Linked DNA regions of Arabidopsis thaliana. The protein of the gene in region 1 interacts with the protein of each later gene in a pairwise test. Each region holds a gene or a part of one and is shown in the gene's direction. Other genes may lie near its edges. The genes, in order: CYCD4;1, AT1G67580, CAK1AT and ICK3.

Region 1 (5,866 bases):
TAAAACACGAATTATATATTCACTATACCAAAAAAAAAAGTTATATAGAGAGAGGCAGAAACTTACAAGTTAGAATCTCAGAACACACAAAGAGTAGCAAAACATCAAAAGTGTACTTGGACCACTTTTGTCTGGCATTTCACATTTGCATGCATGAAAGATAATAAAAATCTATAAATAGTTGAGCCTTTTAAGTTTAATTCGGAAAAAAAAACGCTTCATTCTTTTTTTTGCTTTAACTTAAACTTTTGTTTCTTCTCACCGCTCGAAAAGATAATCAAATTTAAAGACAGTAAAAACATCAAAGTTTATTAGCTGACACGTGATTGTCACAATCACGTTATTACTATACTTACTACTACACTACCAACAAAATAAAAGAGCACCTTGGTAAAATGATATAATACATTTCTTTTATATCTTATAAAATTCTACAAACCGAAAGATCAAACATGCTCGCGGTCGTATAGTTTTTTTTTTTTTTAATTTATGTTAAAGGGTTTTTTGCGGTCGTATAGTTGTAGACTTGTTTCTACTTTACAATTTCAAAAAGCTGTGTGTTTTGGTGCGCATCGGTGATTTCTAAAACTTAGTTGGATAAGAATATATTGTATGAACAGGAGTTTATCTTTACAATTTTTTAAGACTCCGACTGATAATGAAGAAACGAGAAAATATGAAAATTGTAAGAATAACAGATATAATATAGAATGAAATTTGATTTTTGAAAGTAAGATAATCGTTTTCAAGGAAAAATTTTCTTTATTATTGCAATGAATTTTGTGTAATTCATTTGCTTCCTACAAAATACGACTTTGTTAACTAAAATGACAATGAGCTAATGTTTGATGTTTCATTCCATAACATGACTATATAGTAGTTGAAAGTTGAAACCAGTGGCTCGATGACTATTTGCCATGTAACCTCAAGCAAGAAATTCTCGTGTGGTGTTTTCAAGCAACTCGTCGCGTAGCTAGCTTTATTTTCATGTGGTAGAAAATTACTAATTACTATTTATAAATAAAAAATACTAATCTCCTTACAAATATACTAATGTAGAATCTTTGGAGGTGATAGAGCACTAGTTATTGACCTCAACTTGCAAGAGAACAAAAATAAATACTTTTATAAATATTAAAAACCTTATAGTTAAATCTTATAAGTTGGGTAAAACAGAAGACAGTATATTTGGGTAAACTAAAACCATATTAAAGAAAGACCATAATGTGTAAAAAACAAAGACCATATTGTGTAACAAACAGAGACCATATTTTGAACTTAAATGAGTATATGACGTAGTTCTTATACAAATATACAGTCTGCTTTTTCATTCAAAGGTATATGCAATGATGATAGATATTGAAATTATTGTGTCTAAAAGTGACCCTAGAATCAAAAAACAGTGGTCAAAGATCTACCAGAGCAAATGGTTCAAATATCATTATAGATGGATTTTGAGTCAAATTTTACATTCAAAACTTCTTTTTATTTGTGGCATGAATTTACATTAGTTTTTTTGGGGTCATTTTTATTTTGTTCAATGTCGGATATTGAAAATAAAATATCATGATTCAGCGTATATTTCGATCATAATATCAAATTGCATTATTTAGTCAAACAATTTTGTTAAAAAATATTTCCTAAGATTTATAGAATTCAATACTGTTTTAAACTATTAGTCAAACTATATATATTTTACTGTTATTAAAACAAGGAATAAAATTATGAAATATCAAAAAATATGTAAAGACATATACTATGATTAAATCTTTCAACATTCAATATTTTACCATTGAATATACAAAAATGTTAACTGTTAACTATGCATACAAGACCGAAATACAAATTCCAAAAAACTTATGGCGCAAATCTGATACCGAACTACCAACGATATTCACTCGATTCATCATCTAAAAACTAAAATACAACGAATAAAACCAACTAACTTTTCAATTCTCACCTCAATTTCCTACCACATTTTCATAATTTTCCAACTTCTCACATTTGTTACCATGATAGTCAATTCACTTTCTAAAATCTTCAAATTTTATCTTACATTTTTCATCTTCTTCACCATTATATATAGCCTCTCTCCTTCTCACACAATCTCCATCTTACCCTAAAAACCACATTTCTTAACTTCCTCAATAAAAAAAAGAAAAGCTTCACCCTTTAATTTTACCCTCAACCCCAAAACAAAAACCCCTTCCTCCACGAGGGCATACAGAAATATCAAAGACCCAATCTTTCTTTCACTTCCCCAATCTCTAGATGACAATCTAACGATACAGTTCCTTTTAGATCGATTACCAAATACAAAGGATCAATTTTTCTTACATGAACACTCTGTTGTAATGGCAGAGGAGAATCTAGAACTGAGTCTTTTATGTACAGAGAGCAACGTTGATGATGAGGGCATGATTGTTGACGAAACTCCGATTGAAATTTCGATTCCTCAGATGGGTTTTTCTCAATCGGAGAGTGAGGAGATTATCATGGAGATGGTGGAGAAGGAGAAGCAGCATTTGCCAAGTGATGATTACATCAAGAGACTTAGAAGTGGAGATTTGGATTTGAATGTTGGAAGAAGAGATGCCCTCAATTGGATTTGGAAGGTCTGATTCTCTATTTGATTTTGATTTCTGGTTTTGAAATTTGGATGTTGATTGGTTTTGAATGATCTGTATAAGCTCAAATTGTGAAAAGCACAATCCTTTTGATGAATGATCTGAACATAAAGAGTGTGTTGCTATGTCTATTAGATCAGAGGCTTATGCAGAACAGATAGAGAGGTTTTGTCTTAAATCTGTAAATCTGATGCTCAATTTCCGATCTTTCACACTTCAATTGACAATAGATTCACTTCAGTCTCAGAGTTTTAGATCTCTAATTGATCTTTTCTTCTGTTCTGATTACAACAGGCTTGTGAAGTACACCAGTTTGGACCATTGTGTTTTTGCTTAGCAATGAACTACTTGGATCGATTCTTATCGGTTCATGATTTGCCTGTAAGTTCACATTGGTTAAACTAAAAGATTGATAATGTTTTTAGCCATTCATCATCAAAAAGTCTCATTTTTTCGCTTCTTGATTTGTGATTCTTCTTGTAGAGTGGCAAAGGTTGGATATTGCAGTTGTTGGCTGTGGCTTGTTTATCATTGGCAGCCAAAATTGAAGAAACTGAAGTTCCAATGTTGATAGATCTTCAGGTTCTCCTCTAAACTCGTTAAATTGTCGAGATGTTCTATTCGACCCGACAATGTCTTGAATCGATTGCGGTTTGATCACATTTCGGAACAGGTTGGAGATCCTCAGTTTGTGTTTGAGGCTAAATCAGTCCAAAGAATGGAGCTTTTGGTGTTGAACAAATTGAAATGGAGATTGAGAGCAATAACTCCATGCTCATACATAAGATATTTCCTGAGAAAGATGAGTAAATGTGATCAAGAACCATCCAACACATTGATATCTAGATCATTACAAGTGATAGCCAGCACAACCAAAGGTGAAAAAAAAAGTCTTTCCTTTATGTTTTATTTTCTTGACCACTTTTGTTTTTGTGCTTTTTTGGGTTTTGTTGTTTTTTTCACTTTTGCTTTTTATGATTTTGGATTAAAATGGTGGTTGTGTCGAGTGAGCAGGTATTGACTTTTTGGAGTTTAGACCTTCTGAAGTTGCTGCTGCTGTGGCACTTTCTGTTTCTGGAGAATTGCAGAGAGTACACTTTGACAACTCTTCCTTCTCTCCTCTTTTCTCACTACTTCAAAAGGTAAAAAACAATCCACCAAACATCTCAAACTCATAAATCTATTGTTTTTTAATACCAAACACACACACACATATAAAGCAGCCTTTGGTGGTTCAATTTCAAGGAAATGCCAGTTGTGGAGAAGTTTGAACTCATTAAAGATGACACATTTATGTGTATATATGTGTGTGCACTAACTTATTCATTGCATACACATAATATGTGTAATTATAAATCCAAAAAGTAAAAAAAAAAAAAAAAAAAAAAAGAGAAACCGGTTAATGGGTCTGAATCCTTTGACTTCCAAAACTAGTGGAGAGTAGACCAAAGACCACTTTAAATTATATTATTCTCTAGCTATGTGTCTTGTGACTCTCTCTGTCACACACACACATTCACTGCACAGCCTCTAGTCACATCTAAAACCAATCTGCCCCCACAAAAACATGTTTGATTCTGATTTGATCTTGCAATCCAAAACATCAGCCTGGTTTCCATTAGTTGTTTTTCTACACCAGAAAAAGCTGAAGAGATCTTTGTGTGTTGTGTTTGTGTTTGTGTTCAAGAGACAAAAACAAAAGTGTCAAGCTTTAAACTTTGTGGTTCCTTTTATTGCAGGAGAGAGTGAAGAAGATAGGGGAAATGATAGAGAGTGATGGCTCAGACTTATGTTCACAAACACCCAATGGGGTTTTAGAAGTATCGGCTTGTTGTTTCAGCTTTAAGACCCATGATTCTTCTTCTTCTTATACACATCTTTCTTAAAAAAAAAACTGTTTTTTTCTTACATTATTATAATCAGTATGATGTCTGATGAGAGGTTGAAAAAAGAGGACAATAAATCAAAGCAAAAATTTTTAAATAAATAAAAGTGTATTAATTTCAATATTTGATTTGTTTATAGCTTTGGTAATACTGAACAAATAAAATTATAAGAATTTTTTGTTGGCAGGAAATAGCAAAAAAGAGAAAGAAAATAAAACAAAGGAAAAACAGAGCTTTTTTTAATTGGTTCCCGCCAAATAAATATAGCGGGAAAAAACCGTATCGGTTCTGTTGAGCGTTAGAGTTGACCTTTTTTAATTCAAACGGTGCCGTTGTGAGATAAAGCGCGCATCGCACTAATGGGCTTAGAATTGGGCCCACGAACAGAAGTCTTTGACTTAAAGTTGACGTAAAGAGACCAAAGCTAGGTTGTGCTTTATGGAGCTTTTGCGTTTTATACCTTTTATCAACAAAACTCCAAAATCCCAATATTTTATTGAAAACTTTTTAACAAAAAATAAATAAAATGATTGGACTCCAGGTCCACTAAACCTCTAGGATCTGTAACTATGAAGAAAATGGGCCAATGCTATATTCATTAAATTTAATCATTTGGGTCTACCATTGTCGCATGGCATACTAGCAATTTGATGATCCTGAAATAAAATAATTGTGCGTGGAGATAATTTATGAAGATTTCCCCTTTTTGTATCATTTTTTAAATAGACATTTTTAATCTGAAAAGGTTAAAAAAAAGTCTCTATACATCATTAAACAAGTCGGTCTAATCTTGTGAAATAGTTGTGTAAGAAAAAAACTTAAATTATGTATTAACAAATGCTAGTTGGTATATATTTTCTTTAAAATAATTACAATTTTAACTCATAACATTTGTTGTATTCAGTTATTTTCTATATGTCTCAATAATCAATAAAATAAATAATGTTAGTAATAACCATCATGTAATTGGTGAATGTGAAAGATCATCTGTCATTGAAAACTTTGTGAATATGATTTTATCACTGCATATACTAGACTTTTAAATTTATTTAGCTTTTCACTAATTATATTAATGGTGTTCAATTTTAGGATCCTAGACACAGTCAAAATTAATCTTCACGGAATGATATATATATATATATATATACGTACATAATTATATGTCTGTGTACGATTGTGTGAAAATTTTGAAATGAAGAAACTATTTGGAGTTGGACAGAGGACTAAGTGAAGACAACAATACAAAACAAATAAACTTTTATAATTCTTTCATTGGGCTTTGTCATAATGAGTCGTCACAGTCATTCAACTGTCCAAATTATATATTTTTTATTTTCCCTGAAATAAAAGTTG
Region 2 (7,492 bases), on another chromosome or scaffold:
TTTTGTGGAGAGTAAGAAGGCTATGAGTGCTATGGAAGCTCGAGCCATGGCTTGGGATGAAGCAGAACGTGCTAAATTCATGGCTAGGTGATTAACGTTAATTGGTTAAATTTATGGTTGATTTTAATATGTGTTAATGTGATTCGTGTTTGAGAGTTTTTTTTTTTTGTGTGGAATTAGGTATAAGAGAGAGGAAGTGAAGATACAAGCTTGGGAGAATCACGAGAAGAGAAAGGCTGAGATGGAGATGAAGAAAATGGAGGTAAGATGTTCTGTCTAATTGTGGAAAGAGAGTTGTCAACACGTGTTCAATCCGAATTTCGGTTCAGTCTTTTTTTAGTTTTTTAAAAGACAAAGTAGTGTGGATTGGTTTGATATGGATTGGATCTATTAATTGTTAAAGAGAAAAATAACGTTATGGATTGAAAAGGTTTTAAAACAATGTGTGAACGTGTGTTTAGGTGAAGGCGGAGAGGATGAAAGCAAGGGCAGAGGAGAAGTTGGCCAACAAGCTAGCTGCGACGAAAAGGATAGCGGAAGAGAGGAGGGCGAATGCGGAGGCTAAGTTAAACGAAAAGGCGGTGAAGACATCGGAGAAAGCTGATTATATAAGGAGGAGTGGTCACTTGCCTTCTTCTTTTTCTTTCTCCTTTAAGCTTCCCTCTCGTTGTTGGTGTCAATAATTGTCTATTTTCATTAGAATGTAATCGTATGGATTTAGTGATATTCAATAACTAACGCAAAAAAAAAAAAAAAAGTTTTGTTTGGGGAAGTAGATAAAAGAAATTGAGCCAAGAACTCTCAAAGTTAATCAAGGTCCCACGAGTGGCCAACTATCCGCACTTTAATTGCTAACTTCACTTAAAACTATGTCGCTAACCTTTTAATTGACACAAACACATTTGGGGAAACTCATAATCTTTGATGTGACCGGTAAAGCAAAAGTTTTGGGCTTTTTACCAGATGTCTGATCTCGCATTTGGCCCGACCCCGCAATTTTGGGCTTCTAAGATAAGGTCAGGCCCGGCTTTAAGGCACAATGTAAGCCCAGCAGTTCAAAGGTTGATCCGACATTAATTTGGTAACGGAGGAATCTCAACTTAAATGATAAGCATTTACGATCCGAGCTGACGACTCGTAACGTGCGAAGTTAATGAGGCGAGATCCGCGGCGTGAAGTCAGCGAATCATTTAACTCGTTTGATTCGATGTATTTGTATAAATAAGAGTCAATTGACATTGTAAAAGGGGATACACATTGTACTGAAACTATACTGAAATACATAAATACTTTTCACTTGATCACTGTTCGTCTAACAAGATTTAAGACCTTCACGAAACAACCACAAAATTCTAATTGCGGATTACGACATCCACACAAATCAAATAAAGATAATCTCAGATATGATGGAATAGTACTAGTACTTGATAGTGATTTTGATTGTCAAATTTTGTAAAGAGCAAAAAAATTGAAGTCTAGAATGAAAGATGACTCATATGTTTCGACCAAGCTAGTCATGAACACAAACAAGAAGAGAAATGATTAGTTCGTGATTGAGAGATTATGAATATTCATAATGTTCTAAAACGGTTTATGTGGTCCCCTAAACATTATGCAGCCACAAACCGTGACAATCATTTTTTCGGACATTGAAATTAGACATTTTAGTTTTGACTGGCCTTCGGCAATATTAGGTACATAATTATCAAAGTTAACATGACTCCAAAAATTAACATATGTTTTTTGATTTAAATGATTTGATGGTAATATTAAGGTTTTCATGTCTTAGAGCAATTTTATTTGTGGTTTCTAGATATAAGTTTCTTAACATTAAAACAACAAAAATAATATTATCTAACTATGTGAGTTTCTTGAATAGTTAAGAAATTCTCTCCAAAATTTCCTATATAAGGTATTTTAGAGATGACTTTTTCACTAATCAAAAAGCCCACACATTCTTTTATAATAAATTTTCTTTCTTTAAAATAAAAGACTTATGTTTAGAAATCATCAATGAGATTGTTCTTATGTTCCAAGTGCTCCAACATCGACTTTCAAGATAATAGTCTTTGTGGTTAAGATGACAATAATTCGATTAATTTTGGGTGTGAGTCGTGTGACTATCCCACGAAAATAAAATTGTTTTGCCAATTTGATGGTAAAATCTCACGATAAAAACTCAAACAATAACAGCCTACCAAAAAAAAAACTCAAGACCATAACATGTTAAATTTAAATAAATAAATATATTTTTGGTTTCAATAATATTGTCGTAGAAGTTTTAAAATATTTTAGAGATAAAAATAAAAAGAAACACATTGATTAATTACAAAAGTTAGGGGCTCCTTATACCTTTTTTTTTTTCATCAAGGGGCTCCTTATACTAAAACAATAAAATAGAGGGGGCGAATACAAAAACACGATTTTAGAGACCTAAAGCTTTGAGCTTTCGACGAGAAACTTTCTTCTCTCTCTCTCTCTCCGCCATTGTTCGTTCCCTCTCCACGGTAATCTATATCCACCCGTCGTCAATCGGAACTTTACGAACTCCTTATCAATCGTATTTTCACTTTCCAATTCTGAGTTCTCTTCTCGTTTCGTCCTCTCTTCCTCCGTATCCACGGGTCTCGCTTTCGGTTTCTAGGGTTTCGCGGTTCTGATCACAAGTTCTGCTTCAATTGTAAGCGATTTGATCGCAAGTAGCTGTTAAATCGGTGCGTAATTCAACTTTTGAAATCTCAAGGTTTAGTCTCTGCAATTCTGATTTTGAACACAGCTAGCTAGTAGCAGATTTAAGAGTTCGTCAAATTAGGATTTTGGGTTTGTTTGGGTCCCTTTCTCACCGAAGTTCTGTATGGCGGCTGGGAGGAATATAAGATATCCAGACCATGAACTGAGAGACCAGGAATCGAATTCTAGATTTTCCAGGCGGGATAGTGCTTATGCGAACGAGGATTATAATCATGTTAGGAACGGTGCTATTGATAATGGAAAGGGACGGGTTAGTAATCTAAGACACGGGGATAGAGATAGAATTAAGTCTGGAGCTAGACAGGAAGAGAACAAAATGGTTAGTAGTGGGTTTCGGTTATCGAAGAGCAATCCAGGTAGTAGAGAAGTATTTATCGATCTTGGTCCTAAAAGATGCGGGTTTTCAGCTAGGTCTGTGGACAGGGAACCAGGCGAGCTCTCTAGTGAGAGTGGGTCGGATGATTTGATTGAGTCGGAATCACTGGCGAAAGTTAATGGAGTTGTGAAGGAGGTAGAGAATAGAGCTCAAAGTCCTGTGGAAAAGAAGAGAAAGTTTTCACCAATAGTATGGGATAGGGATGACCATGAGAGAAGTAATTTGAGCAGAAATGAAAAACCTGTGGAGGTCACTCCTCTTCCTCCCCCACCACCACTAGTTAAGAGGTCAAGCCAGTCACCTAGTGTCAGTTGTGGTGGTAATTCTCATTATTCACCTGCAAAGAGTGACATGCATCAAGATCCTGTGGAAGTTGGTGTTTCTGCGGTTTCTATGCCTGCTTTGTCACCTTCGGTAGAGATGTCCTCTTTGTGTGTGGTAGAACAGTCATCAAATGCTGAGCAGGATGACAAACAAGAGCATGCAACACACCTGGAAGAGGATGAAAACATGCCAACACGGCATATATCATCCTCTAGGTGGGCTGCTGGTAATAGTTCTCCAACTGATGAAGTTGAAATAGTAGAAGAAGTTGGGGAAAAGAAAAGGAGGAAGAAACCATTTCCCGTGCAGGGGAGATTTCGCAATACCTCTCAAACACCTGAGGTCGGGGAGTTAGTGAGGGAAGGTTATAGATCATCTGATTCCGATGAAAGGGGGCACCATTCTTTACCGGGAAGCAGAGATGATTTTGAGGAGAGAGATGCTGTTAAGAGTGACAAGATGGAAATAGATGAGGAGGAACACAGAAGAGAAAACTCTGTTGACAGCCTTAGTGAAACAGATTCAGATGACGAATATGTACGGCATGAGACACCTGAACCTGCCAGTACTCCACTGAGAAGTATAAACATGCTCCAGGGTTGTAGAAGTGTTGATGAATTTGAGAGGTTAAATAAGATCGATGAAGGTACTTATGGTGTTGTTTATAGAGCAAAGGATAAGAAGACAGGCGAAATTGTGGCATTGAAGAAGGTGAAGATGGAAAAAGAAAGAGAAGGTTTTCCATTGACTTCTCTTAGGGAAATTAACATCCTCCTTTCTTTTCATCATCCATCAATAGTGGATGTTAAAGAGGTGGTCGTGGGTAGCAGCCTTGATAGCATATTCATGGTGATGGAATACATGGAACATGATCTTAAAGCATTGATGGAGACAATGAAGCAGCGTTTTAGTCAAAGTGAAGTTAAGTGCTTAATGCTTCAACTTTTAGAGGGCGTCAAGTATCTTCACGACAACTGGGTGCTTCATCGAGATTTGAAAACATCTAACCTGCTTTTAAACAATCGGGGTGAGTTGAAGATATGTGACTTTGGTTTGGCTCGGCAATATGGCAGCCCGCTCAAGCCTTATACTCATCTGGTTGTTACGCTTTGGTACAGGTAAAGTGCGTTTTTACCCTATTCTTGTTTATAAAAAAATTAAGTGGTGTTTACATTTACGATTGTTATTTGAATTCTGGTGGACTTTCTTGTTTTTTTTTGGCCATTGTTAGTATAACATTAGGTGCCACGTCTCCTTTCTGGTATAGCTGTACTACACCGTACTCCCTTTTCTATTTCTGCACATTAGGATCAATGATTTTAAAGTCCTGTTTTTAAATGGTGTTCCAAGGTATCTGATATTTGTTCCAATGGCACCACAAACTTGAGTTTTGTGACTGCCTTGGATCCTTATCTTTCCTCTTTGAGAATAGTCTTCATAATATGCCAGCTTAGCCATTAAATACTTAACACTTTTGCGGTATTTGCTTGGACACCACGTACCATGAACCAACGTAATCTGGGCACATTAGGAAATATACGTGCTTCAACTTCCTTGACTTGTTTTGTTCCTTGTGTTGACTCTCCCTTCTTGTTTTAGCAATAATCACTTCCTCCGGGACCAAGCCCAACGACTGCATTTGTTTTTCCAGGGCACCTGAACTTCTCTTGGGAGCAAAACAATATTCTACAGCCATTGACATGTGGTCACTGGGCTGTATCATGGCAGAACTATTAATGAAGGCGCCATTGTTCAATGGGAAAACGGAGTTTGATCAACTTGACAAGGTATTTTAAACATCGGTTTTGATTTGGATCTCCAGCCATCCTGGGACCACATACAGCTTATAAATTACTCCTTCTTTAATTTACAGATTTTCAGAATCCTTGGTACTCCCAATGAATCTATTTGGCCTGGGTTCTCTAAACTACCTGGAGTCAAGGTCAACTTTGTCAAGCATCAGTAAGTATTTATAGTTCCTTTTATTTTCAGTTTATATGGAAGGATAACCTTAGTATATGCTTAAAGTCTCTAATATTGTTCCCAGGCTTTCTAGCTTTAGATGATGTGGTGTGGCTCTCTGACTCATTAGTGGATTTATATTGTTTTCATAGTTGTTATGTCACTCTTCTCACCGCTTACCTGTACTTTTAGGTATAACCTATTACGTAAGAAATTCCCAGCCACTTCGTTCACTGGTGCACCAGTTCTGTCCGATGCTGGGTTTGACTTACTGAACAAGCTCCTAACGTACGATCCTGAAAGGGTAATAGAAAATATATATCTGTTGCATGCATGTTAATCCAGTATGCACCTTAATTGTTCCTTGACTTTTGGATCTCTGTGGCTTCTTCTGCAGAGAATAACTGTTAATGAAGCTCTAAAGCATGATTGGTTCCGCGAAGTCCCTCTGCCAAAATCCAAAGATTTCATGCCTACTTTTCCTGCTCAACATGCCCAAGACAGGTACTGAGGTCTATCTAAACTGAAACGATCAGTGGTTGACTTTAATTCTGTCTCTTACTTTTTCTTCTATGCCTAGGCGTGGGAGGAGAATGGTAAAGAGCCCTGATCCTTTGGAAGAGCAACGTAGGAAGGAATTAACGCAAACCGAACTTGGGTCTGGCGGTCTGTTTGGCTGAAGTACAGCACACCGGTCGAAGATAGCAGTTGGAATACAACCTTGATATTCTCAAATACCTTGGAATTACCACATTTTAGGCGAGGGCTGCTGCTTAAGCGGAGGTTGGAATATTTGTATCTCAGAATATCATTCATGCTTTCTTTATTCACTTTGAGGGTCCGTGGTGATTTGTGAAGATGATTTTCCTCCTTTCGCCACTGAGAATCCTTGCAGGTTTAATGTGTTCACAAGCTAGGCTGGCCAGTTAGTGCTATGGCTTTCTGACAGTGCTTGTTTTGTAAGACAATCTCCAATGTATAGCTCTATATCTTACTCTAAAATAGAGTTGCTTTCTCTCCAATGTATATTTCTATTTTCTAGTCTAAAAAAGAATATTTTTAGAAATATTCTATTTCTATTTATATACTAATACCTTTTAATTATATAATTTACAATTTACTCCATATGTTATAAATTTGCAAATTGCCATAAAATATGATATTATTTATAAAAAATCCAAATGTTCGGACATATTTTGAGAGTGAACAAGTATGGATTTTACAAAAACGACGAGTCCAACAACAGGATCAAGATCAAGAAACTCCTCCTCCATCTAGTACAATATAGCTTTGTACACTCTTCACGTAACCAAGTTAAGAGAGGCTCGCGGGAAAAAAAAAAAAAAAAAAAGTTAAGAGACGCTCATGTAAGTATATCTTCTCCTATCAATTGAAGAATCTCACTATATGGCAGAAGGTAAAAAAGCTATGCAATAATGCATGATACACCAACCCTTTTTTTTTTTGGTCATTCAGTACCGAAAACTACAGTCTTGCCGAGTACAAAAGTAACTAGAGAGAGCTCAATGAAGAATATTGTGTTTATCAAATGCCTGTCTACTGTCCACCCGAATATCGTTATCCCGCCTGGATTCATCTGCAAATACAACACTGCAACATATCATCTAATTAGCTATCATCATATCTGAGTTTAGCTGTAAAGGTACAAGTAAAAAAGGGCGAAACAAATCTCACCGAAAGCTTGTCGTTTGTGATATGAGGACATGGACATATAAGAAGGAAACTGGTTAGTAACAGGCATCCTCATGTAGTGATCCATTGATTCCACATCACTATCTGAACGGGAAATCGGAAAGGAGATGGGCGGATTCGTGGTAGCCTCCAAATGAACTCCACTAGGAGATGCCCTTATCTGAGTTGAATCTGTAGACGAGCAAGACATCATCGCATGCCATCTACTTGCAACTGATGCTATTGCTTGAGCTCTGTGTGATATTTTTGTTGCTGCGTGTAGACACAAAATGATTCCAACAACTTGGACAACCGCAGAGACCTGAAAACATATCATGTTCCAAGCTTAAGCTCACCACATAAGAACATAACAATCAGTGAATAAGA
Region 3 (5,869 bases), on another chromosome or scaffold:
CGGGATCTTGTCTATATCAAAACATTTGCATGAACAACTTTTCATTTTCAAATCCACCAGAAAACTTACCGAGTTGAGATCAATCACGTTGTATTCTTGGTTGTAACTGTTAAGCTCAAACACAGTTAATTTGGCTGCAACTTGACATCTAATGTGCAATATGTTCTCCACAGTAGGCACAACTTGTGCTGTGATTGGACAAGAACCTGAAGCTTGCCTATGCTCGTTGAACCATTCAGAAAACTTAGAAATCATCACATCAATCATTGGTAACAAGTGGTATTTTCTCGCTTTTTTAAACACACCATTAATGGACTCCGCAGAATTACTAGTGTCAATGTTATACTTGTCTCCTTTAAAATGGCACCTCGACCATTTCTCAAACCCTACTTTCACAAGAAAGTCAGCAGCTTTAGGCCATAAACTTGTAAAATGACCAAACTCTTTCTCGAACTCACTCTCAGTATATGCATGAGCACAATCCCTGAACTTGACAGCAGCTCCATCCTTGTCAATTGTCACACGATCTCTCATGTTTTGACACAAATGCCATATACAAGCTGCATGAAGCGCATTCGGGTACACCGTCTTGACAGCCTTCTTTATGCTTTGATGCCTATCACTAATAAAGACCAATCCGGGAACATCCGAATATACAGTTTTCAGCTTTTCTAAGAACCAAATCCAACTTACATCCTTCTCGCTATCAATGATTCCAAACGCAAGTGGATAATGATGATGATTAGGATCTTGTGCTGTTGCAATAACCAACATCCCACCATACACAGTTTTAAGATGAGTTGCATCCACAACTATCACTTTCCGCATTGCCCTAAAACCTTCAATGCAAGCGCCTAATGCAATGAAGAGGTACTTGAACTTTTTCTCTCCTTCCAACTCCACATAAGTTACTGTCCCTGGATTTACCTTCTCTAACATGTAAAGATAAGAAAATAACATCGTGTAGCTTCTTTCCGGAGTCCCTCGCACATCACTAACATGTAGCATTTTGCCTCTTAAGGCAGTGGAGTATGAACAATGCACCCCAAGTCTTCCTCTTACAATCGACATAATGTTTTTTGGAGTTGGGGTCTCTAAATTTCCGGGATAATCACAATGTAAAACCGATGCTATTAATCTTGGTGTGCCTCGCTGTATACTGTTGCTTGTAGTCTCAACACTCCGAGAGCATGTATGCATCTTTCTATGCACTCTAACACTCCAAAAATGAGATTTTTTAGTTCTCGCAACTCTTAGATACCAAGTACACCCTTTAGAAGCTTGGCGGCATCGTAGCATAAGTCTCAACGGGTCTGACTTAATAGTATAGACTCCAAAAACTTCTTTCTTTGCAGCTCTGTTAACCAATTCCCACACAGCCTCCCTTGAACAAAATTCTTGACCAATTTCAATACCCGTACCATCATCCCATTCTATAACCTGCGGAGTAACTTCTACACTTCGTGGAATATCGTGAATATCATCATAATCAATCCTATCATCCTCATCTTGTTCCTCAACAGAATTCACCGGCCTTTCCATCGGCCTTTCGATAGCCACGATCTCCGTACCTACTACATTCTCACAATCATTCACATCATTATCATATCCATCATGCACCATCTCACATACTTCATTTAAAACATCATCCTCTATTACATTTACACCAACTGAACTTCGACGCTCCGGTACAGAAATTTCCTCTCTCCTCTCAACTCCTATACCATTTAATTCCTCCACATGCAAAACAGGAATCCGACTCTCTTCATCAGATTCTGTTAAAAATATGAAGACATCCTCATCATTTACAATATATGTCTCTCTCCTAACTTTAGACAGATTGTAACTCAGTTTCAACTTGACAGAAGCTTCATCAATCGCAACCTTCTTCATGATCTTGTCAACTAACATCGAATAGCTAATCTTCTCCAAACTACTCGTCTTAAACGATATAACATATAGTGAATTTTTACCAATCCACTCATTCACTTCAGAATAGTATCCTCCAAAGTCAAAATGTACCTTAGTGTGGATCTTCTTCTTCATCGCTCCTGAAAATACAACCAGTTCAACTCCAATCAAACATTTTAATAGTTATACCACATGTACTCTTATCATACGTTGAAATCAATCTCTCGTCGCACTCGTCTCTACTGAACCTAATTCGTTACCTTTCAATTGATTTCCAATGTTAATACATACCTATTCGTTAAACTAATTGGTTAATCTAAACTTTGCAAACACAAACCCCCCAAATCTTTAATATGAAATCTCGGAATTCAAATTCAACTCACATTCAACCTACATTCCTTTGCTCATCACCTCAAATAACGTTTCGGCAACCTCTAATCGATTACTCTTTACTTTGCAAACCAATCATCAAACTATCAAATTGAATCGAGCTGGGAATTATATAGAATTCAAAATCCCAATCTAAAATCACAATGCACCAATGTCAAAGGAAATATGAGAAGAAACTGACCTAATTCGTGGCTTTTACGCCGGATTTCAAGTCGGCGGCATGAGGAAATCGATGGTGGCCGACGAAGAAGATGAACGTCGACCAAAGAAGAAGAACACGACGACGAAGAGGAGAATCTCCGAACTCGATTTTCTTTATTTAGCTTTTGAATTTCTTTTTCATTTTTTTAATCAACTCATTAAGGGTACAACTGGTATATCACATTTTCGGTGGCATTCAGATTAACTTATGGCAGTCCAGATCAGTTTTTTCAAAAAAGTGGCATAAGTGATAAAAGTCCCCCCCTGCGGTTTGGTTTCTTGTCCGCTCCAAAACTTGTGAGGGCATTTTAGTCATTACAACATGGGAACTGGATTTTTAAACTGGTGAATTCGTTAGCGTTTATGTGAATAATCATCCATCATCAGGAAAGATCCGAAGAAAAGCGACGCCGTTTTAAAGGAGATGGATAAACAACCGGCGACCAGTTGGAGTATCCATACCCGGCCGGAGATAATCGCCAAGTACGAGATCTTCGAGCGAGTCGGATCCGGAGCTTACGCCGACGTTTACAGAGCTCGCCGTCTCTCCGACGGTCTAATCGTCGCGCTCAAGGAGATTTTCGATTACCAATCTGCGTTCCGGGAGATTGACGCGCTCACCATCCTCAATGGATCTCCTAATGTAGTTGTTATGCACGAATACTTCTGGCGTGAGGAAGAGAACGCTGTGCTTGTGCTTGAGTTTCTTAGGTCGGATCTCGCTGCGGTGATCCGAGATGGTAAGAGGAAGAAGAAGGTAGAAGGAGGGGATGGATTCTCGGTTGGGGAGATTAAGAGATGGATGATTCAGATTTTAACCGGTGTTGATGCTTGTCATCGGAATTTGATTGTACATAGAGATTTGAAGCCTGGGAATATGTTGATTTCTGATGATGGAGTTCTTAAGCTTGCTGATTTTGGTCAGGTGAGATTATGATTGTTACTGATTGTGTTAGTTATTTCATTGTTTGATGCACAAATATGAGAAACCTCTGAATGAAAAATGCTTGGTTTGCTTGAAATTTGGAAGAGTTAGTGTAATCAAGTGGCTAGACCTTATCATTTAGTGTAATCTATGAGTTTCTAAATGTGTGTTGGCTTCTTGGTTCATATACAGGCTAGGATACTCATGGAGCATGATATTGTAGCTTCAGATGAAAACCAACAAGCTTACAAACTGGAAGACAAAGATGGAGAAACCAGCGAACCACCAGAAGTTATTCCTGATTATGAGAACTCACCTAGGCAAGGGTCTGATGGTCAGGAACGGGAAGCGATGAGTAAAGACGAGTACTTCCGACAGGTGGAAGAGCTCAAGGCTAAACAGGTTGTTAGAGATGATACTGATAAGGACTCGAATGTGCATGATGGAGACATATCTTGCCTTGCAACGTGCACTGTTAGTGAAATGGATGATGATCTCGGTAGGAACTCGTTTTCTTACGATGCTGACGAAGCAGTGGATGATACACAGGGTTTGATGACATCTTGTGTGGGAACCCGATGGTTTAGGCCACCAGAACTGCTCTATGGATCTACGATGTATGGGTTAGAGGTCGATCTATGGTCGCTTGGTTGTGTGTTTGCAGAACTCTTGTCTCTTGAGCCTTTGTTCCCAGGAATTTCAGATATTGATCAGATCAGCAGAGTGACCAATGTGCTGGGAAATTTAAATGAAGAGGTCTGGCCTGGTTGTGTTGATCTTCCAGACTACAAGTCAATCTCATTTGCTAAAGTAGAATCTCCTCTTGGTATTGAAGGATGCCTTCCCAACCATTCAGGGGATGTGATATCGCTGCTCAAGAAGCTTATCTGTTATGATCCAGCTAGTAGAGCTACTACTATGGAGATGCTGAATGACAAATATTTAAGTGAAGAGCCTCTTCCAGTTCCAGTTTCAGAGCTCTATGTGCCTCCGACAATGAGTGGACCAGATGAGGATTCTCCGAGAAAGTGGAATGATTACAGAGAAATGGATTCAGATTCAGATTTTGATGGCTTTGGACCCATGAATGTAAAGCCTACCAGTAGTGGATTTACAATAGAATTCCCCTGACCTTGGCATTTAAGGTACGCAGTCAAAAGCTCTGGCTCGCTTAAACACATAAATCAGTCTCTTCTCTCTCTCTCTTTCTTCTTCAAAGAGAATGGGTATATACCAAAACCTGACATGTGTTTCTTTAGGTCTTGATTGATGCAACACTCTTTGTTGTTTGAAGATCTTGTTACAGAATACCGCTTAGAAAATTGTTAACTTTTCGTTAGGACATTGTTTAGGTATCAATGGCGGCAAAAACTTTTGAAATTCGTTTGCTCATTGATCTCACAACTTTTTTTTGCGCTTTGTTTCTCTCATCGATCTCAGTTTTATGTGTTTATCTCTCCTTGGCAGAGTCCATGGTTGAGCATCTTGATCATCCCGACTTCCCCTGAATTCGCCTACTTTGTCAAAAATGTGTTGTGTGTGTGTGTGTGTTGTTCCTCTCTCTCTGCCTCCCTCGTATGAAAATGGTAACATTTACAATTGGAAAGTCGGTGTTAGCCTTTAGCTATTAGCTGAAGAGCTAGTTTTCTTGTTGCCCAGGCCATTCTTTACCCTATTTTTCATCTGAAGTAACAATGAAACAAAATCTATATATACTCGAGTTTTGCTTTCTAGGATCTGTATTTCTTAATTGTTTCTATATTTTGATCAATTTTGAACTTTTCATATCAAGTTATCAACATGTGTAGTAGCAACCCTTCAATAATGAGACCATGGAATAAAAGCCTATCCTATATGTCATCCAGTTTTTGCTAAGATAAATTATTTTCAGTTACCCAAATTACATAATCAAAACTGATATCATAAACAACAAAAATAGCACACACAAAAATCATAACTGAATCTGATTCTTCCAGAAATGTGAACTGTTGTTTACTATAAAAAGAAGAAAACCAGAACCACAATACATTTGACTCCATGAATCAGTCATACTAGTCCAACATACTAAATATAAAACTTAAGGGGCAATATTGAAAATTAGACAAAAGTTGATAGACCAAAAGATAAATTAATAACAGTTACCAGTATCTATCGCCAAGTCTCCCCTAGGGTTTTTTTTCTCTGAAACGGACATCGAGAAATTCCAGGAGTGAGTTTTGACAATCGGAGAGAAATGGGGTCGACAGAAAAAGAGCAGACGACGCAACATCACCCGCCTCACATCAGCAGTCTCGTCGTACGTCCCTCCGGAAGCAACGACAGAGAAGACGGCCGCAACGCCGCCGGAGACTATGAGCCCGGAGAAGTCTCTCGTGACCGGCCTTCGTTTAATCGCTCGGATCGGTATAAGGGTGACAATGGTGGTTCGTATCTCTTCTAAAC
Region 4 (4,226 bases), on another chromosome or scaffold:
ACATATTGGCTTGAACTTGAAGGATTGCTAATAGATAGTAACTGGATTCAAGGGACCCCATCAAGGTGAAAGATTCGCTCCTCTGAGTGCGTGTGAGGCAGCTACGATGTGATTGGTCGGAGTGTGGAACCCATGACTGCTCTTACGTCGGAAATCGTTTCTCGGGTTCTGTCTTTTTTAAAACACTTTATTATTGTATTAAAAAGAAAATAAAGGAAAAAGTTTTTTCAGTACGAGCGTGTTGTGATAACAGTTTTTTTTTTTTTTTTGGCGCCCTGAAAAAAAGGGCGGGAGGACGTGAAGAGTGTTATTGCAGATCCTTTATTTGTTTTTTGTTTTTTTTGCCTTTATCTCTGATTTTTGGGGATTCGGTAGCGTTCGAGATCTGAGCTGTTGCATGATTGCTGAGAGTCATCGCACGTGTGCCTTCCTTCTTTGTACGGTGAAAATAGTTTTTACCATATTTAAACCGGTTATAAAGTTTTGTTCAGGTTTAAAGTATTATGGGCTAGTAGTGTGATCTTTCGTGTTTGGATGAACTGATGAACAAAGAAATATCTAAAGATTGTACACAGTGTTGGTCATGCATACGATTTGAAGCATATAAAATCATGATTCATGAGAATGTCCCTTTGACATCTTCGATAAAATCATGAGAATTATGAATTATCGCAAGCTTTAAATTTAGAGATTTTTAATGTAATTCATCTTCTTCAATAATAATAAACCTCTCGATTAAGAATAATAAGCACCGGGGCATTGACATTGGGAGCCTCTACTCAGTACTCACCTTGTTGTTGTTTCACGGGTTACATATATATTAATATAAGAAGGCCTTTTAACAAAAATAAATAAATATAAGTCTGATTTAATGTATAAATGTATATCACGTAACAGTAGATTAATTAGTCGCCGCATCACGATTCTTGTTTCAAAGAAACAAAAAAGAATAAGACTGTGTTTGCTACACAAAAGAAATGTAGAAAACCAAATTGAGTCATATATTTACATTTCAGATACTATAAAGTATAAACTAAATTTTATGTAAAGGAAAATTAATTTTTCTATTTAGACGTGAGTATAAGCATGTAGTCAGACCAACTTTATTTGTTCGACAAATTTACCAACAAGTCAACTTTTGAAGCCTAATTTATGAAAGATAATCTCAACTATTACATCACAAAGAGAACGGTTGTTGAGATGATTACATAACTATAAAACTAGAAGCAACCAATATAAATGTCCAATGCTAATAAATCCAAAGAAAATAAATACTTAGGTAAGTGATCAACCCTATGATGTTAATTTTAAGACACTTGTTTACTTAAAAAAAAAAAATTTACAGTCAAATGTATCTGTATACAATTAATGTGTACGTTTTTGTCAAATGTGAAGAATTTAATAGATGGTTGACTCTTTTTTTCTTTTGAACCAATAACCTGCATGACATTTGAAAATCTGAATGCTAGCTTTTGTTTTGGATTGTTTGTACAAAGTTAACGTTGACTTGTCTACCAAATTTTATGAAACAATGAAAATGGATGCAAAAAATGAACTGCCTTATTATCTTAAACCAAAACAAATTTGACACATACAACGATCTTTGCATTATTTAACAAAAATAACTAAAAATTTCCACACGATATCAATTGCTTTATAATCATGGATGGTCTACCAAAGCAATTAATATAAGCTTGATGATCTTTATTCTCAAAGACCTTGTTACTTTCGGCAGCCTTTTATTATTTGTTGCACCAACCACTCATAAACTTTAAATACTATATATATAGTGTATAGAATAATTGGAATATATATTTCCAAAAATGTTCTTCATTTGAGAACTATTATTTTATGTTATTTTGGAGTAACTAAGAATTAATTATATAATATAAGTGAAATATAGAGTCGGAAATATGTCGTTTACTACATGAATTATCAAAAAGTTGTTATTTAATACGTAAATTTTATATATAAACATTTAATATATGTAAAAATTATTGACCGGTTATTTTACACAAACTTAATTGTTTATCAGCCAAAATTTATACCAACGTAAAAAAATTAGATAACATTAACTTAGTGTAAAATAACTTTTTTCTATATATTAAATGATTATATTCAAAGTTTACGTATTAAATGAATATTTTTTAAAAATTTGCGTATTAAACTATATTTTTCTCAAGCAAACTCAAATTAATACTTTAAATATCTCATATATTGTTCATAATTTACTTTTGTAAAGTAGACTTTTAAGTTTTAATCAGATAGAATACAAAAATTAAATTAAATTCCAATTAATTAAATTTTGATTTATCTTTTTTCGAAGAAAATGATGACAATCAGGTGAGAGGGCCTTTGACACCTTAAAAATTTGTCTAATTTGTTTTTTGATTCGATTTTAAAATAAATATTTCCATTGTCCTTTTAGTTTTCACTTTTTCAGATTAAAAATCACTTTTTTCCTCCTCCTTCGTTGCTTCCCTCCTTTCGCTCTCGACCGGAGATTCAGTAAACCACCTTCCCGGAGATGGGAAAATACATTAAGAAGTCAAAAGTCGCCGGTGCCGTTTCCGTTAAGGATAAATCTCACCCACCCGCTCTAGGTTTCCGTACCAGAGCCGCCGCCGCTAAAAACCTCGCCCTCCACCGTCTCCGTTCTCATTCCGACGAAGCAGACTCCTTTAACTACCTCCAGCTCCGGAGCCGCCGTCTCGTGAAGCTTCCATTACTCACTAATACCAGAAAACAGCAGAAGCAACAGCTCATTCCTAGTGTCAATCAATGTCAAACGAAAAACCCTAGGGCTAGTTCCGGTCCGGCGAAGAAATTAGAGCCGGATACGACGACGGAAGAAGCTTGTGGTGATAATGAGAGAATATCTAGGTCTGATTGTAATTTTGGAGATAAAGGTTTTGATTTGGAATCAGAAAACAGGTAACTTTAACTCTGTTTTTTTTTTCATTTTAAAGCTCCAAACTTTTTTTTTTTACTACAATACAGAGATTGAGTTTTGATATGTTGGTTCTCTCATAGGAGCATGATAAGTGATTCAAAATCAATACAAAGTGAGATTGAAGACTTCTTTGCTAGCGCAGAACAGCAACAACAGAGATTCTTCATTCAAAAGTACAAATCCCATTTTCTTTAGTGTCTTGATTCTCTTGAGTTTTTAGAGTTTGGTCTGACTTTGGGGGAGTTATGGTTTTGCAGGTACAACTTTGACATTGTCTCGGACAATCCATTGCCTGGACGTTACGAATGGGTCAAAGTGATGCCATGAAATGAGTTGTGTTCGATGTAAAGTTGTGTGCTTTAGGAAACATCTGTGTTGGAACAGAGGAGATGAAAATTGCACACAGACTAACTTTGTGGGGTTTTAGGGTTGGTGTATAACTTGTTAGTCAAGAATAATGTAATGTTAATCTCTCTCATTTGCTACAAATAAATGTCTAATTTAACTGTCAAGTTACTTAAATTAGTATTGTAAATCTCTTCATTGTTCTTTGGTTACTTCAGTGAAGGTCTGAGTTTTGTGGTTCTGCATTAGAGTTACTTTACAAGTCATATACTTTGGATTCAAGTAGCAAAAGTAGTGAACTTGTCTGAACAAAAACCTTAGTCACAGGTTTTATCTCTATCTTCTTTATTGATAGTTTGATACTCTAATCTCATTGGGCTTTTCACACATGTGGGTACTTGTACCAATTCCTCTGTCATACAGGTTGCAGTAAAATGCTTCGATTAGATTTCATCTCTCTCTTCTTTATTGGCACTGCACTCACTGTCTTGCTTTCTGGAATTATTTCTTCAAAAGTCTAAGTTAGTAGCACCTTTCATGCTAAAGATTAGGTTTCTTGGTTTCTGTAAAATATTTCACCTCTTTAGATCATTTGCTCATCGGATGAATCAAAACATTAAATAATGATGTCTATTCTTATTAGTACAAAGCGTTTAAGACCACTGTGTTATGTCTGATACTAGTACTAAATTCACATGATCATTTACATCTCTGAAGAATCAAAACCTTCTTGGTTTTGTCACCTTTTAACACATGAACAATATTTACTGATCAAGCCCTGCTTCTCCGATGGTTCAGCGTTTTTGTTTGGTTAATTTGTGAGCAAAACTGCAAAAGCAAGTCATAGGATGCTTAGAGTGATTTCATTCTCGTTGATAATAGTTGTATTAAGTAAATACGTAGTCTGTAATATTACAGTACCTGTCAT

What was found.
Region 2: the proteins of CYCD4;1 (region 1) and AT1G67580 interact in a protein complementation assay, tested with the Arabidopsis thaliana proteins (one large-scale study listed by BioGRID).
Region 3: the proteins of CYCD4;1 (region 1) and CAK1AT interact in a protein complementation assay, tested with the Arabidopsis thaliana proteins (one large-scale study listed by BioGRID).
Region 4: the proteins of CYCD4;1 (region 1) and ICK3 interact in a protein complementation assay, tested with the Arabidopsis thaliana proteins (one large-scale study listed by BioGRID).

Annotation. Positions count from the first base shown.
Region 1 is NC_003076.8:26,140,239-26,146,104, reverse strand, and holds CYCD4;1 (CYCLIN D4;1), read left to right. Parts: upstream 1-2,111; 5' UTR 2,112-2,354; coding exon 2,355-2,615; intron 2,616-2,762; coding exon 2,763-2,792; intron 2,793-2,921; coding exon 2,922-3,008; intron 3,009-3,110; coding exon 3,111-3,209; intron 3,210-3,300; coding exon 3,301-3,505; coding exon of another isoform or gene 3,506-3,579; intron 3,580-3,641; coding exon 3,642-3,769; coding exon of another isoform or gene 3,770-3,805; exon of another isoform or gene 3,806-3,992; coding exon of another isoform or gene 3,993-3,995; exon of another isoform or gene 3,996-4,366; coding exon 4,367-4,513; 3' UTR 4,514-4,635; downstream 4,636-5,866. UniProt on the Arabidopsis thaliana protein: May activate cell cycle in the root apical meristem (RAM) and promote embryonic root (radicle) protrusion.
Region 2 is NC_003070.9:25,326,328-25,333,819, reverse strand, and holds AT1G67580 (Protein kinase superfamily protein), read left to right. Parts: upstream 1-2,358; 5' UTR 2,359-2,854; coding exon 2,855-4,569; intron 4,570-5,102; coding exon 5,103-5,238; intron 5,239-5,324; coding exon 5,325-5,413; intron 5,414-5,605; coding exon 5,606-5,717; intron 5,718-5,810; coding exon 5,811-5,917; intron 5,918-5,993; coding exon 5,994-6,093; 3' UTR 6,094-6,538; downstream 6,539-7,492. Other genes in the region: AT1G67590 (Remorin family protein), read left to right, coding at 1-87, 181-262, 462-683; AT1G67570 (zinc finger CONSTANS-like protein (DUF3537)), read right to left, coding at 6,882-7,024, 7,109-7,427.
Region 3 is NC_003075.7:14,285,545-14,291,413, forward strand, and holds CAK1AT (CDK-activating kinase 1AT), read left to right. Parts: upstream 1-2,852; 5' UTR 2,853-2,926; coding exon 2,927-3,427; intron 3,428-3,619; coding exon 3,620-4,558; 3' UTR 4,559-4,572; exon of another isoform or gene 4,573-4,894; 3' UTR 4,895-5,369; downstream 5,370-5,869. Other genes in the region: AT4G28990 (RNA-binding protein-like protein), read left to right, coding at 5,661-5,850. UniProt on the Arabidopsis thaliana protein: CDK-activating kinase that modulates CDKD-2 and CDKD-3 activities by phosphorylation of the T-loop. Activates CDKD-2 C-terminal domain (CTD) kinase activity. Activates CDKA-1 probably by phosphorylation.
Region 4 is NC_003074.8:9,058,463-9,062,688, forward strand, and holds ICK3 (Cyclin-dependent kinase inhibitor family protein), read left to right. Parts: upstream 1-2,373; 5' UTR 2,374-2,527; coding exon 2,528-2,934; intron 2,935-3,033; coding exon 3,034-3,126; intron 3,127-3,210; coding exon 3,211-3,280; 3' UTR 3,281-3,541; downstream 3,542-4,226. UniProt on the Arabidopsis thaliana protein: Inhibits CYCD2-1/CDKA-1 complex kinase activity without interaction with the complex.